Linked DNA regions of Arabidopsis thaliana. The protein of the gene in region 1 interacts with the protein of each later gene in a pairwise test. Each region holds a gene or a part of one and is shown in the gene's direction. Other genes may lie near its edges.

Region 1 (3,968 bases):
AAGAGGGAAGCTCTAGAAAGTTTATAAAGCCCAGATTGACAATTGGCGTGTTGGTTGTTGGATTGGGAAAGCTCATCGGGTTAACATGACAAGAACAAAATTTGGTGGTGGTAATAACCAGTTTTGATTTGGTTTAATCCGGTTAAAAGAGAACCAAAATAATTTTTTTAAATTAAAATAAATAATTAATTAAAAAGTTAAAGATAAAATTGAAATTTTTAATTATTCATAAAATCATGTATAAAAATAACAACATATAAAATTTTAGATATTAATTCTTGTATGTTTTAATTTGTATATGTATTTTTTCTGACTAAAAACATTTGGGTATTAAACTTCTAAATAAAAAATAGTTTGAATTTTTTTTAGAATTTTTCCTATAACATTAATCTTGTAGAATCCACAAAAATTTTGTAGAGCCCAGTGCCTTAGGAGTATCTTATGGTGGTAATGTCGACAACGTTTTTATTTGTTTTTGGTTTTGGAGGCTAAACCTATTTATTTCTTCAATTTCAAAATTTCGACAAGAGAACACATAAAAGAAACAGAGTCTTTTTATCCAAACACAGAAAAATTACAAACTAGAAAACAAACACACACAAAAACAAAACACAGAAACTACTCAAGAAACAGCGATTTGAACAGTCTTAGGTTTCGGCGGCTGTGGCGGTAGCTTCTTGATAACAACTGTCAAAACACCTTCTTGATATTTAGCCGTTACAGAAGCCATATCAGCATCTTCTGGTAACCGGAACTTCTTAACCAAATTCTGAGCAAGTCTCCTCTCGAGTCTAATATACTTAGACCCTTCTTCACTCTCATCATCATCTCTCTTCCTCTTCCCATTACTCTTTATCACTAAAGTCCTCTCTTCCTCCACTGTAACCTAATTTCCCACCAAAACCCCCAAATCATAAATTAAATTAAAAAAAAAACCCTAATTTCATAAACAATTCAACATTTCTATGGGATTATATCAATACCTGGATATCTGATTTTGAAATTCCGGGGATATCGAGATAAAATATGTATTCTTTGGGAGATTCCAAAATGTCTATTGGGATATTATTGCTACTTCCTCTTCCACGACTCTCGTTATTACTTTCGCCGGAACGAGAAATCGGGAGAATTAGCTTCTCGATCGCCTCCGGTAAGCCAAAAAAGTGGTTAATCGCAACAGCACTCATCTTCTCCGATCAATGACTGCCAGAAAACAAAACAGTTAAAAAAATCAACAATTCTGAAATTTTCCAGGAAAAGATCGATACAGAGAATAGGATCATTACCTGGGAATTAGGATAACCCTTTCCAATTGGATCTTCCTCTTCTTCGATTTGATAGTATGGGGTTTGAAATTTTCACTCCATTGATATATAGTGAGTAAACACCAGTGAGCTAGAAAGTTCCAGAGAAAATTTCTAGAAGTAACTAGTGAACTTGAGAGTTGTTTCAAAAGCTTCCACGTCATTAAATCTCCTTTTATTGGGCCTTATAAGTTATTTATAGGCCGTTTAGCACATTGGACTTGATTTATGTCTTTGTTCTATTTTGTATTTTTATTTCTTATATCTGTTTTTATTGGGCCTTGAAAGTTATTCCAGGCCTTAGCCCATTAGACTTGATTTATCTCGTTTTATTTTAGTTAGAGTTTTTGAGACTTGAGACAACCTACCTAACCATACTATAGACAAGAAAATAAAAATACTTTTGTATATTAGAGAAATTTTGAAATCCGTCAGTGTGTATATTCAATATTCCTAACGAAAAAATGGCCAAAGCATAAATACCTTATAGCGATATTTGAGTATTTACCATAAAACCATTCGAATACTGTCACGGTTCTAAATTTCTAATATTGTTCTTTTGTTATTAAAGGAAAGAGTGAAGGGTGTTTTCGTCATTTAACATATCCATCGGGTCAATAACGGAGATTACCTATCCGGTGACCTTATCCCCTCGCCGGTGAGCGAATCTCAGATCCAAAATTTTGCAAAATCCTCAGATCGTCTTACCTTCTCCGAATCGATCGATTTTTCATGGAGGACGACGACGAGATTCAGTCAATTCCATCTCCGGGAGATTCTTCCCTTTCACCACAAGCTCCTCCTTCTCCGCCGATTTTGCCAACAAACGACGTGACGGTGGCCGTCGTGAAGAAACCACAACCGGGGCTTTCTTCTCAATCTCCGTCCATGAACGCTTTAGCGTTAGTGGTTCATACTCCTTCTGTAACCGGTGGTGGTGGTAGCGGAAACAGAAACGGACGAGGAGGAGGAGGAGGAAGCGGTGGTGGTGGAGGAGGAAGAGATGATTGTTGGAGCGAAGAAGCTACAAAGGTTCTAATCGAAGCTTGGGGAGATCGATTCTCTGAACCAGGTAAAGGAACTTTGAAGCAACAACATTGGAAAGAAGTAGCTGAGATTGTGAACAAGAGTCGTCAATGCAAATACCCTAAAACTGATATTCAGTGTAAGAACAGAATTGATACGGTGAAGAAGAAGTATAAGCAAGAGAAAGCTAAGATTGCTTCTGGTGATGGACCTAGTAAATGGGTTTTCTTCAAGAAGCTTGAGAGTTTGATTGGTGGTACTACAACATTCATTGCTTCTTCAAAAGCTTCAGAGAAGGCTCCTATGGGAGGAGCTCTTGGGAATAGCCGTTCGAGTATGTTTAAACGGCAAACTAAAGGTAATCAGATTGTGCAGCAACAACAAGAGAAGAGAGGCTCTGATTCGATGCGGTGGCATTTTAGGAAACGTAGTGCTTCTGAGACTGAGTCTGAGTCTGATCCTGAACCTGAGGCTTCTCCTGAGGAATCTGCTGAGAGTCTCCCACCTTTGCAACCGATTCAACCGCTTTCGTTTCATATGCCAAAGCGGTTGAAGGTGGATAAGAGTGGAGGTGGAGGGAGTGGAGTTGGAGATGTGGCGAGGGCGATACTTGGATTTACGGAAGCTTATGAGAAGGCGGAAACTGCTAAGCTTAAGTTAATGGCGGAACTGGAAAAGGAGAGGATGAAATTTGCTAAAGAGATGGAGTTGCAGAGAATGCAGTTCTTGAAAACTCAATTGGAGATAACACAGAACAATCAAGAAGAGGAAGAGAGGAGCAGGCAGCGAGGAGAAAGGAGGATCGTTGATGATGATGATGATCGCAATGGCAAGAATAACGGCAATGTAAGTAGCTGACAATTGAACACACAAATGTTCCTATGATATTTGCTATGATAAGCTGGATTTTAGGTTTTGATGTTGTTGTTGTTGTTATTGTTACTGCCTTGTGGGATGTGTAAATGTAGAGAAGTTATGACTCTGATTATCATCATGTTGTTGTTATTGTTATCCATCTTCTTGTCTTAAACATGGGCAAATTAAAAAGCTTTGAACTTGAATAGCTTGTTGAAAACCTCTGTGATTCTTAAGTAGAGTTCTGAACTAGTAGTTTGTGATTCTAAGTTAAGACACAGCTTATAGAATATTCACCAATGAGATTAGAGACTAATGATTGGATTAGTCAGCATATTTATCCTTAAATTAAAATCTCCTTAATTAAGCCAAAGCTTATAATTAACCTCACTAAAAATATTCAATGCTTCTCTCTTCTCTTTCATCCTTACCTCTCTACTACCTCTATAAAACCATTTCCATTGCAAAGGAAAAAAAAAGAAGATAGAGACAGTAAAATAAAAACCCGAAATAATTTGAAAAAATATTGTTATATATTTTTGGATAAATTTTTGTTGATCGGATGGGGTTCCTACACAAGCTGTGGGATGAAACGGTGGCCGGACCGACGCCGGACAATGGTCTCGGGAAATTGAGAAAGCACGATTCATTATCCACCGTCCGATCTTCTCCTCCTTCTCTCTCAAGCGACCAAGTCACCAGAAGCATCATGGTTACCAAGGGGAATAACAATGTTCGTGGTCTCCGTAAATTGAAAATGGATCCGGATTCTCCAACCTGTTC
Region 2 (4,898 bases), 9.7 Mb from region 1:
TCTTCCTTGGGTCGTAAAAACATGTTGTTTCTGTCCTGTCTCGTTATGGCGATATCAACGATGCTAACGGTTTTCTCACCAAACATTTGGGTTTACGCTGTTCTTCGATTCGTTAATGGATTTGGTCGAGCGACGATAGGGACATGTGCGCTCGTTCTTTCGACGGAATTAGTTGGGAAGAAATGGCGAGGACGAGTAGGGATAATGAGTTTCTTCGGATTCATGCTTGGCTTTTTGTCTCTTCCTTTGATGGCTTACATGAACAGAGGAAGTTCTTGGAGGATTCTCTACGCATGGACTTCGATTCCAACGATAATATACTGCGTTCTTGTTCGGTTTTTCGTTTGTGAGTCTCCAAGGTGGCTTTTCGTTAGAGGCCGTAGAGAAGAAGCTATTTCGATTCTCAAAAGGGTTGCTTCGATTCCGTCTACTGATGTAAGCAGTGGTGGTGCAATATCTATGAGTTTTTCGAGCTTACCTTTTGAAGAAGATGAAGAGAAGCCTAGTACTAATGTTAACATCTTCACGACCATGAAGGTGTTGGTAGAGAAAAGATGGGCGCTTAAGAGATTATCCGCGGTAATGGCCATTGCGTTCGGGATTGGTTTGGTCTATTACGGGATGCCTTTAGCGTTATCGAATCTTGATTTCAACATCTATTTAAGTGCAGCGTTTAATGCGTTGATGGATTTACCAGCGAACCTCATCACGCTTTTCCTAGTCGATAAACTCAGTAGGAGAAACGCGCTTATCGGATTTACGGCTTTAGGTGGAGTCTCTAGCGTTCTCATATTTGCGTTACATAATATGAGAATTGGAAACCACGGGGCGTTACAGTTGGCGTTAGAGCTAATCTCTTACTTTAGCGCGTGTTCGGCTTTTAACATGGAGATGATATACACGATCGAGCTGTTTCCGACATGTGTGAGAAACTCGGCTATCGCAATGGCTAGACAGGCTTTGGTGCTTGGTGGAGTTTTCAGCCCTATTATGGTAGCAGCTGGTCGGAAAAACGCGTTCTGGTCGTTCGGATTGTTTGGTCTTGCTATAGGTTTGTTGGGATTGTTTGCAGTTGGATTGCCAGAGACTAGAGGGAGTGATCTATGTGACACTATGGACGAGGAAGAGTGCAAAGACCGGCGGAGTAAAGTCGCCGTTAATAATGTCATTGCATGAAATGGTGAAGAATTTGAAAACACATGTGAAATTAATGTAGATTTAATTTAGTATTTATCACTTGATTACATTAAGACTTACCACATATCTTTTTTTTTGGTTAGTTGAAAAGTGTTTCTAAGAATGAGCCATCAAAGCACCACTCTGATGAAACAATCTCATTTTACAGTTTACACCTATAACACATGGATTTCTTGAATAACAAAATAATTCAAATTTGTCTCGTTTGGATATTGATGCCGATGGTTAAACGTTTGGCTGTTTGATTTTTGTTAGAGATAATTGTGTTTCTGTTCTAATTTTCACACGTTGTGTGAAAATGAATCGTTCCAATCCCAAGAAAGTATATTCATTGGGGTTGTTGGTAGTTGGCTGTTTGGTAATTGAATGGGAAGAACAAACCAGACAGAAATTTGTACACTTCTTGGTAGATATGTTTAAAAGGTTTAATTTACAAATAGGCCCATCTATCAGCCCTTTTGTAACCCTTTTAGGCCCAACTAAGTGGTCTCAAAGTTCACAAACCCAAAACTTATGTGGATTTATTATTTTAAGCCCACACAAACTAACGAACGGTGAGCTGGCAAGTCACGTGATGACACGTGATCCATCAACCCATCACTTACCATTACCCCAACCGGTACGGAAGTGGTTTTGTATCTTCCTACTTCGACTCCTCTTGGGTAATTATAATTAGTTTTAGATGAACCAAACAATCCCAAAATAATATTAGAAAAAGGGAAGAAAATCTGAAACCAAAAAAAACGAGAAGGGAGTCGAAGAAGAACCTTTCGCGCTCTGACGAAATTCATTACTTACACTGGATTTATACTTTTTTTGTCTTCCTCTCTCAATTATCTCCTTCAACGCCACAAGATCCTAAGGCCTCTCACGGATCTCTCTTAAGATCAATCGCCGCGGCTCATGACGCAGTCGCCTGTTCAACCGCCTCCGCCGCTCCCAGCTCAGCCGCATTCCGCCGCCGGAGGTGTAATAAGAGGCGATGTACAGGTTAGGTGCGCAGGCTGTCGCGTGATTCTGAGGGTGAAAACCGGCGTTGTGGAGTTCTCGTGTCCGACTTGTCAACTTCCCCAAATGTTGCCGCCGGAGCTTCTTTCTAGGGCACGGCCGCAGTTTCCGCAGTCTCCACAACAACCACCACAGCCAATTCAGACGCTTCCGCCACCGATTCAACAGCAGCTTAAGCCTCTTAATCTACCTAGGCCTCCGGTTCCGGCACATGGAATCGATCCGACGAAGATGCAATTGCCTTGCGCTAACTGTCAGGCTATCCTCAATGTGCCTCATGGACTCACTCGGTTCTCGTGTCCTCAGTGCCATGTCGAGCTCGCTGTTGATGTCTCCAAGCTTAATCGGTCTTTAACTGCTTCTCAATCTCATTCTAATCCTCCTACTCCTGCTGCTCCCACAGTCCCGCCTCCGCCTCCTCCCGAAGAAGTCAATGAGGAAGCTATTGAAGTGGAGAGAGAAGAAGATGAAGGTGGAACGGCTGGAGAAACGTTTATGGATTATGTGAGTGCCTCATCTTGAGATCATCTTTTTCTGTCTGTTCAATGTTTTTGATGATACTAATTTGTTTCTTTGTGAAGCGTCCCCCAAAACTTTCGATCGGACCTCCTCATCCTGATCCAATTGTGGAAACATCATCTCTATCTGCAGTGCAACCCCCAGAGCCTACTTATGATCTCAAAATCAAGGAAGAGCTTGAAAGGTCAAAGGCTTTATCGTGTTTGCAGATTGAGACATTAGTTTACGCTTGCCAGGTTGCTTTTAAATGGCAAAAAGTTTGGTTAATGGCATTTAAACGTATCTTCTACCTGTATGACAATGGTTTTTTTTTTATTACAGAGGCATCTCCAGCACCTTGCTGATGGTACCAGAGCAGGCTTTTTTGTTGGAGATGGTGCTGGTGTGGGCAAAGGGCGAACAATTGCCGGGTTGATTTGGGAAAATTGGAAACATGGAAGGAGGAAAGCTTTGTAAGTCTTGTAGAAAGATACTTCTGCGCCATTTACATCCTTGATAAGATATTGTTAGCTCAATTCAATCTGACTTATGATTATACTACATTTGCATAATTGTGTCTACGGTGTCCTTTTTTGGTTTCTTAGATAACTTAAAGTAGGATGAGTTCTAATACTATTTGCTCCTTTTCCTTTATGATTTACATAGGTGGATTTCTATTGGCTCAGACTTGAAATATGATGCAAGAAGGGACTTGGATGATGTGGGTGCTACATGCGTTGGAGGTATTATCTTGATTTTGGCTGTAAATTAAGTTTGTAATTCGCTTATTTTCTTGGGTCACAAATGCTTCATATGTTATACATAATTACATATAGCTTATGCTATAAATTATTTTCTGGCTCATTGTTGAATAGAAAATTTTGAAAGTGGATGGTATAGAGTAGACTGGATCAGAATGAGATTCTGACTTTGCTGAATGGATAAATTGACTCATGCTTTAATATTACGATGTAGAGTACACATGTATTTTTAGAGAACTTATTTTCTTTACTGATAAAGGTAATGGGTCCCTGAACTTTGTTTATGGTGTCTTCATGCCTAGAGAATGTTATGGGTAGCTGATGTTTGTGCAGTTCATGAAAATTTCAGGTAAATAAAAGTTGGACTGTAACTTTAGAATAGTCCAATAGGATATTTGATTCTTAGTCTCATTAATCCTTTATAGGTTTGAGCTTGGAATTTTAATAGAATATTAGGAGATGGAAAAATACGACAAATCAAGGGAACCATGTCGATGGATAAGTTCATTCAAGTGAACAAATGTCCAGTTTGTTTTTTCTGCAACTAAATAACAATATGTTTGACGTGCAGTGAATCCTTTGAACAAGCTACCCTATTCTAAGCTTGACTCGAAAAATGTTGGTATTAAAGAAGGAGTGGTATTCTTGACATACAATAGCCTCATTGCTTCCTCTGAGAAGGGCCGTTCTCGTTTACAGCAGCTTGTTCAATGGTGTGGACCAGAATTTGATGGTCTCTTGATCTTTGATGAGGTAACAGTTCTATGAATGAAGTATATTAAATTATTTGCGTTAAAATCATCATCCCCCTTTTTTTGTGAATTGAACAATTTGAGTATACCCTGTCGTTGTAAGTTGCTTGATCACTGGTTTTATCAATTTTGGGCCAACCTCTAATCTTTAGTACATTGTGCAGGTACTAATTTGTTTTCCTTTTTTATAGTGCCATAAAGCGAAAAATTTGGTACCTGAAGCTGGGAGTCAGCCGACACGCATCGGACAGGCAGTTGTTGACATTCAGGTCTGGCTACTTGAAACTGAATGTTCTTATCAGTGTTGCTTTTAATATTGCTCTTGGCTCTGAAGAGTGAGAGATTATATACTTCGACTTGTCTTTTTGGGTTGTACTTTTTCTCGGTTTCAGATAATATAGTGTATATTCTAGTTTAACATGCTTAATTTGTGGTTAGTGCCATCTAGTTGACTCTAACTAATGAATTCTGGAAAAGCAGGATAAGATCCCCCAAGCACGTGTTATTTATTGCTCGGCTACTGGGGCATCAGAACCACGAAACATGGGTTATATGGTCAGGCTTGGTCTTTGGGGAGCTGGAACAAGTTTTAGTGATTTTAACAAATTCCTAGGTTGGTTTTCTTTTCTACTCCTGTTGATTAATTGATTTTTTTTTTTTTGTGTGTGTGTGTAACATTTGG
Region 3 (4,061 bases), 1.9 Mb from region 1:
ATAATAGCTATGGAAATTATACATTCTAAGAGAAAAGTAAATTGTACAATATTCAACTTCTTTTTCCTTGGAAACCCTCTCGTGAAACTCCAAATATATAGCATAGCTGCATAGTAGTGTTAGTATATACAAGCAATTACACTGAAAATATTTTTCTTTTCAAAGCCATGGCCGAGAAGGGTAAGGAGAAGGTAAATAAACGCTCTCTTCTTTTTCTTTTTTGTGCTTCTCTTTGAAACCGTTACTACTAATTGTTACAAAAGTTGTATTAAAAGCTATGAGAACATTATATGATGAAATTAAACTAGGTAACATGGATGAAATTGAAGACGGAGCCTCTTAGTAACGAAAAGAATTTCTCGAAAGTCAAGAAGGCTCTTTCGAGCATACCTCGTATGTTATTGTTATATCTTTCTCTCCTTTTACGTCTCTTTTGGTTTGAAATTAAAAACTCATAATAATAATTTGTTTTATGTGATTTTTTTGGGAAAACAAAAGAAGTAAGAGACCAAAAGTTCGAAGAAGAAACCAACACGGTCACAATCAAAGTGGTTTGCTGCAGTCCTGAGAAAGTGATGGACAAACTCTGTTCCAAAGGACGTGGAGCTATTAAGCTCATCGAAACCATCGATCCGGCCAAACATGTGGCTCAAAAGCCCAAAGAACCTGAGAAGCCCAAAGAAGCTGAAAAACCTAAAGAACCAGAGAAGCCCAAACCAGCAGCAGCTCCAGCTCAAGGCGATCCAAGTTCTCAACGGGTGACACATGGGTATAATCCACCGCCGATGATGGGCCATCCGGTGCCTTGGTCTGATGGGCCTAACTACGGATGGTCCCGACCCAATGGGTATGATGAAAGACCCATTTACAATAGCTACGGAGGTTGGCAACCACCACCATCGCAATATGGTGGCAGATCACATTACGAAGAGGAACAACCGTCTTGCTCCATCATGTGAAGTCGTGAACCATTACTATTACATTATCTCTCTTTAAAGAACAAAAAAAACTTATTTAATTTTTCTATTCTACACAACTAGTTTTGATTTTCTTAGCCTTTAACAATTTCTACTAATTAAAAGCGCACTTGAATGTGTGAGATCATTTTGTTTGACAATAATACATAATACTTCATTGTGTTCTTTCGTTGTTTGGTAGTAACAATTTTTTAACTATTATAGCCTGATCAAATACATTATACTAGGTTTTAACCCGCGGTTTACCGCAGACGATCGGTTTATTTGGTTTTTATACTAAATATTTGAATAAATTTGATATTTTAAACTTATAAATATAAATTTCTAGTGATTAGTGAAGAATCGTAATATATGATTTATATATTATTGATTATTGATTTCGTGATTGAATACAATGTTTTTAGGGATAAAATGTGATCATATTTTTATTTTAAAAACGACATAGATTCCTTATTTTTGTTGAACGGTTTAGATTGAAGGAAATTAATTTTATTGAACGGTTTAGATTGAATCGGATCATATAAAACTTAGGTGATTGTTAAGACCAAATTACCCTTAATAATTTTGAATAGCAAAGAACAAAATCCAAAATTAAAGCCAAATTAGACAAAATTTCAATTTATACTTTCTTTCTAATAATAAAGGGATGTATACATTTTCTCTAATTATGTCTCATTCCATTTTTTGTTTTTAATTAGCAATTAAATGTCTTTCCTTTGCTCGGCTAAGCATCTCCGTATTTACTCGGCCGACAAAAGGCTTCGTGTATCACCAATTCATATTAAAGGCTTCGTTAACGGCCCATATTAAAAACTCGGCCCACATCTAAAAACACTTATATTGTGAAAAACGAGACGGCAAATCAATCGAGGGTTAGGGTTTTAGAATCTTTAAAGAATCACATTCACACATCAGAGAGGAAGAAGAAGATCGCAGCCATGTTCCCAGGAATGTTCATGCGAAAGCCAGACAAAGCCGAGGCTCTGAAGCAGCTACGCACTCATGTCGCTCTTTTTGGCAGCTGGGTTGTCATTATCCGTGCTGCTCCCTACGTCCTCTCCTATTTCTCCGATTCCAAAGATGAGCTCAAGATCGATTTCTAAATGACTCTTTCAATTTTCAGGTCTGATTATTGAATTCTATCAATTTTGTCTTCCTTTGTCATGATTTAGCTTTGATAGATCAAGTCATAACGATTTCAAATTCGTTTGAATTAGTTCTGTTTGATCCTTAATACTCTTAGGATCGAGTTATGGTACTTGCTTGAGTTTGATCAAAAGTATAGAAACTGGAAATTTGGTACTCTTGTTCATTAGAGTATTCTTGTCATTGATATGCTTCAGCTTATGCCTTTATGACTCACTTATTGATATGAAATATATATATCTGTGTATGAAGAAGCATTATATATACCCAATGTGTAGATTTAGGGATTGTTGAGTATTGATTTGAATATGCTTAGTAAAAGCTGGTTTGGTGTTAATCTTCAGTATTATGATCATGTTAGATCAAGATTGTGTGTTGTTTTGAATGTGTTTTTGAAAGGTTTGTTAAAAAAATTTCAAGCCAATTTAATAATGTGTGTGATTTATTTACACATAGATTTCTCATTGCTCTGCCATACTAAGATCTCTCTGGTCTGTTCTTAAGTAAGTTTTAAGGCTTGTTCATGAGAATGTGTTCACAATCATTAAAGCATGATATGTTTCAGCTTATGTCTTTAGGCTCACTTATTGATATGTGAATATATCTGTGTATGAAGTTATCTTAGATACTCATGTATCCCATGGAGATTTAGGGATTGTTAAGTATTCACTATGCTTAGGCGAAAGCTTCTTTGCTTGTTTGCTCCTCTTGTGTGTCATGAGAGAGAGAGTCTTCTTGAAGAAACCTTCAAAATTTTTCTGAACATCTTAGATTAAGATTGTGTGTACTTAGAATGTGTTTTGTCGATTAATCCAAGTATTATATATAATGTGTGTGACCTCGATGCTATGGGTTCCCCTGTTCTCAGCCATATTGAGATCGTCAATGTCTTGAGTTTGCTAAGCCGCCTATTGTCTTTTATCTCGTGCAGCGTTGAAGCGGTGAGATAGATGCATTATGAAGCAATGGAAGATATCTTGTTTGTTTTTGCAACCTTCTTACTCTTAAGACCTGAGATTACGAAATCATGAGACATTTAGTTATATAGTGGTGTACTTTTGGGATTTGTTTTTGGTTTATGTTCTTCTCACCAACGTTCTCCAATTTCCAGCAAATTACCTTCGGCTATTCACTACCGATTTGCAGATCAGATTCTGCCCATTATTCTTTTGAATTTGCAAAATTTTCTTCTCAGAACTAGTTTTGTCTTTTGTGGAGCGTTTTAATTAAAACACTTTTTAATGAAACGAGTAAGTTTTGGACATTTCTAAAGTGTTGTCTTGTGATTTTCTAAAGAGCAATCGACTTTTCGTACAGGAGGAAGCTAGATGCATTGAAATAAAATAAAATAAATATAAAGGGGGAGAGATCGGGAATTGAAGAAGAAAGGAATAAAAGTGTTTTGCAAAACAGTTTTCTCCGACAATTGCTCTGCTTTGTCTGATGAATACAGACCACAACTCTTTCGACATGAACAGTCTTCTCTTTTCCACCATTCGTAACACTCACAAACAACGTGCGAACCAGAAACACTCTCAACTTGTCTTTCTTTTATTCCTCTCTTAATTCTCTTCTTCTTCTTCGTCATGATCATGATCGTGATCGTTTTGTCCTTACCAGATAACGAAAACCCCTATGATTTAATCGAAAACTACACAAGATTTTGCAGATCCATGTCAAAAGTTTCCATCTTTATCGAGTTTTAGATTCAACAGCTAACCTACGTGCCACACAAGCAAAGCTGGGGATGGTGGAGGTTCCTGGCTCTGTAGGCACAACTGCAAGCCTTTCCTTAAGGTTAGGGCAGATGGTATTAGCATTTGGCTCTCTTCTCTTCATGACCATCGGTGTTCGCTTCTACCAATTCACTGCTTTCTGGTAAATAACTCCTAATTCCATATTCTATATTCTATTATCAACCCTAATATAATCTTAGTG

The links.
Region 2: the proteins of ASIL1 (region 1) and EMB1135 interact in a two-hybrid assay, tested with the Arabidopsis thaliana proteins (one large-scale study listed by BioGRID).
Region 3: the proteins of ASIL1 (region 1) and TOM6 interact in a two-hybrid assay, tested with the Arabidopsis thaliana proteins (one large-scale study listed by BioGRID).

What each region holds. Positions count from the first base shown.
Region 1 is NC_003070.9:20,178,936-20,182,903, forward strand, and holds ASIL1 (6B-interacting protein 1-like 1), read left to right. Parts: upstream 1-1,674; 5' UTR 1,675-2,036; coding exon 2,037-3,188; 3' UTR 3,189-3,439; downstream 3,440-3,968. Other genes in the region: AT1G54050 (HSP20-like chaperones superfamily protein), read right to left, coding at 623-886, 984-1,187; AT1G54070 (Dormancy/auxin associated family protein), read left to right, coding at 3,748-3,968. UniProt on the Arabidopsis thaliana protein: Transcription repressor that binds specific DNA sequence such as the GT-box-like motif 5'-CGTGATT-3' in the AT2S3 promoter. Negative regulator of seed maturation genes during seed germination and seedling development.
Region 2 is NC_003070.9:29,850,418-29,855,315, reverse strand, and holds the start of EMB1135 (RING/FYVE/PHD zinc finger superfamily protein), read left to right. Parts: upstream 1-1,849; 5' UTR 1,850-2,100; coding exon 2,101-2,709; intron 2,710-2,786; coding exon 2,787-2,960; intron 2,961-3,045; coding exon 3,046-3,176; intron 3,177-3,369; coding exon 3,370-3,446; intron 3,447-4,035; coding exon 4,036-4,217; intron 4,218-4,407; coding exon 4,408-4,485; intron 4,486-4,696; coding exon 4,697-4,829; intron 4,830-4,898. Other genes in the region: OCT2 (organic cation/carnitine transporter 2), read left to right, coding at 1-1,176. UniProt on the Arabidopsis thaliana protein: Required for normal embryo development. Necessary to acquire heat stress (HS) memory, by modulating nucleosome occupancy and regulating heat-induced gene expression.
Region 3 is NC_003070.9:18,284,757-18,288,817, reverse strand, and holds TOM6 (translocase of the outer mitochondrial membrane 6), read left to right. Parts: upstream 1-1,783; 5' UTR 1,784-1,915; coding exon 1,916-2,080; 3' UTR 2,081-2,100; intron 2,101-3,054; 3' UTR 3,055-3,512; downstream 3,513-4,061. Other genes in the region: AT1G49420 (Heavy metal transport/detoxification superfamily protein), read left to right, coding at 168-191, 309-393, 499-959; AT1G49405 (Uncharacterized protein family (UPF0497)), read left to right, coding at 3,871-4,001. UniProt on the Arabidopsis thaliana protein: A component of the complex responsible for the recognition and translocation of cytosolically synthesized mitochondrial preproteins.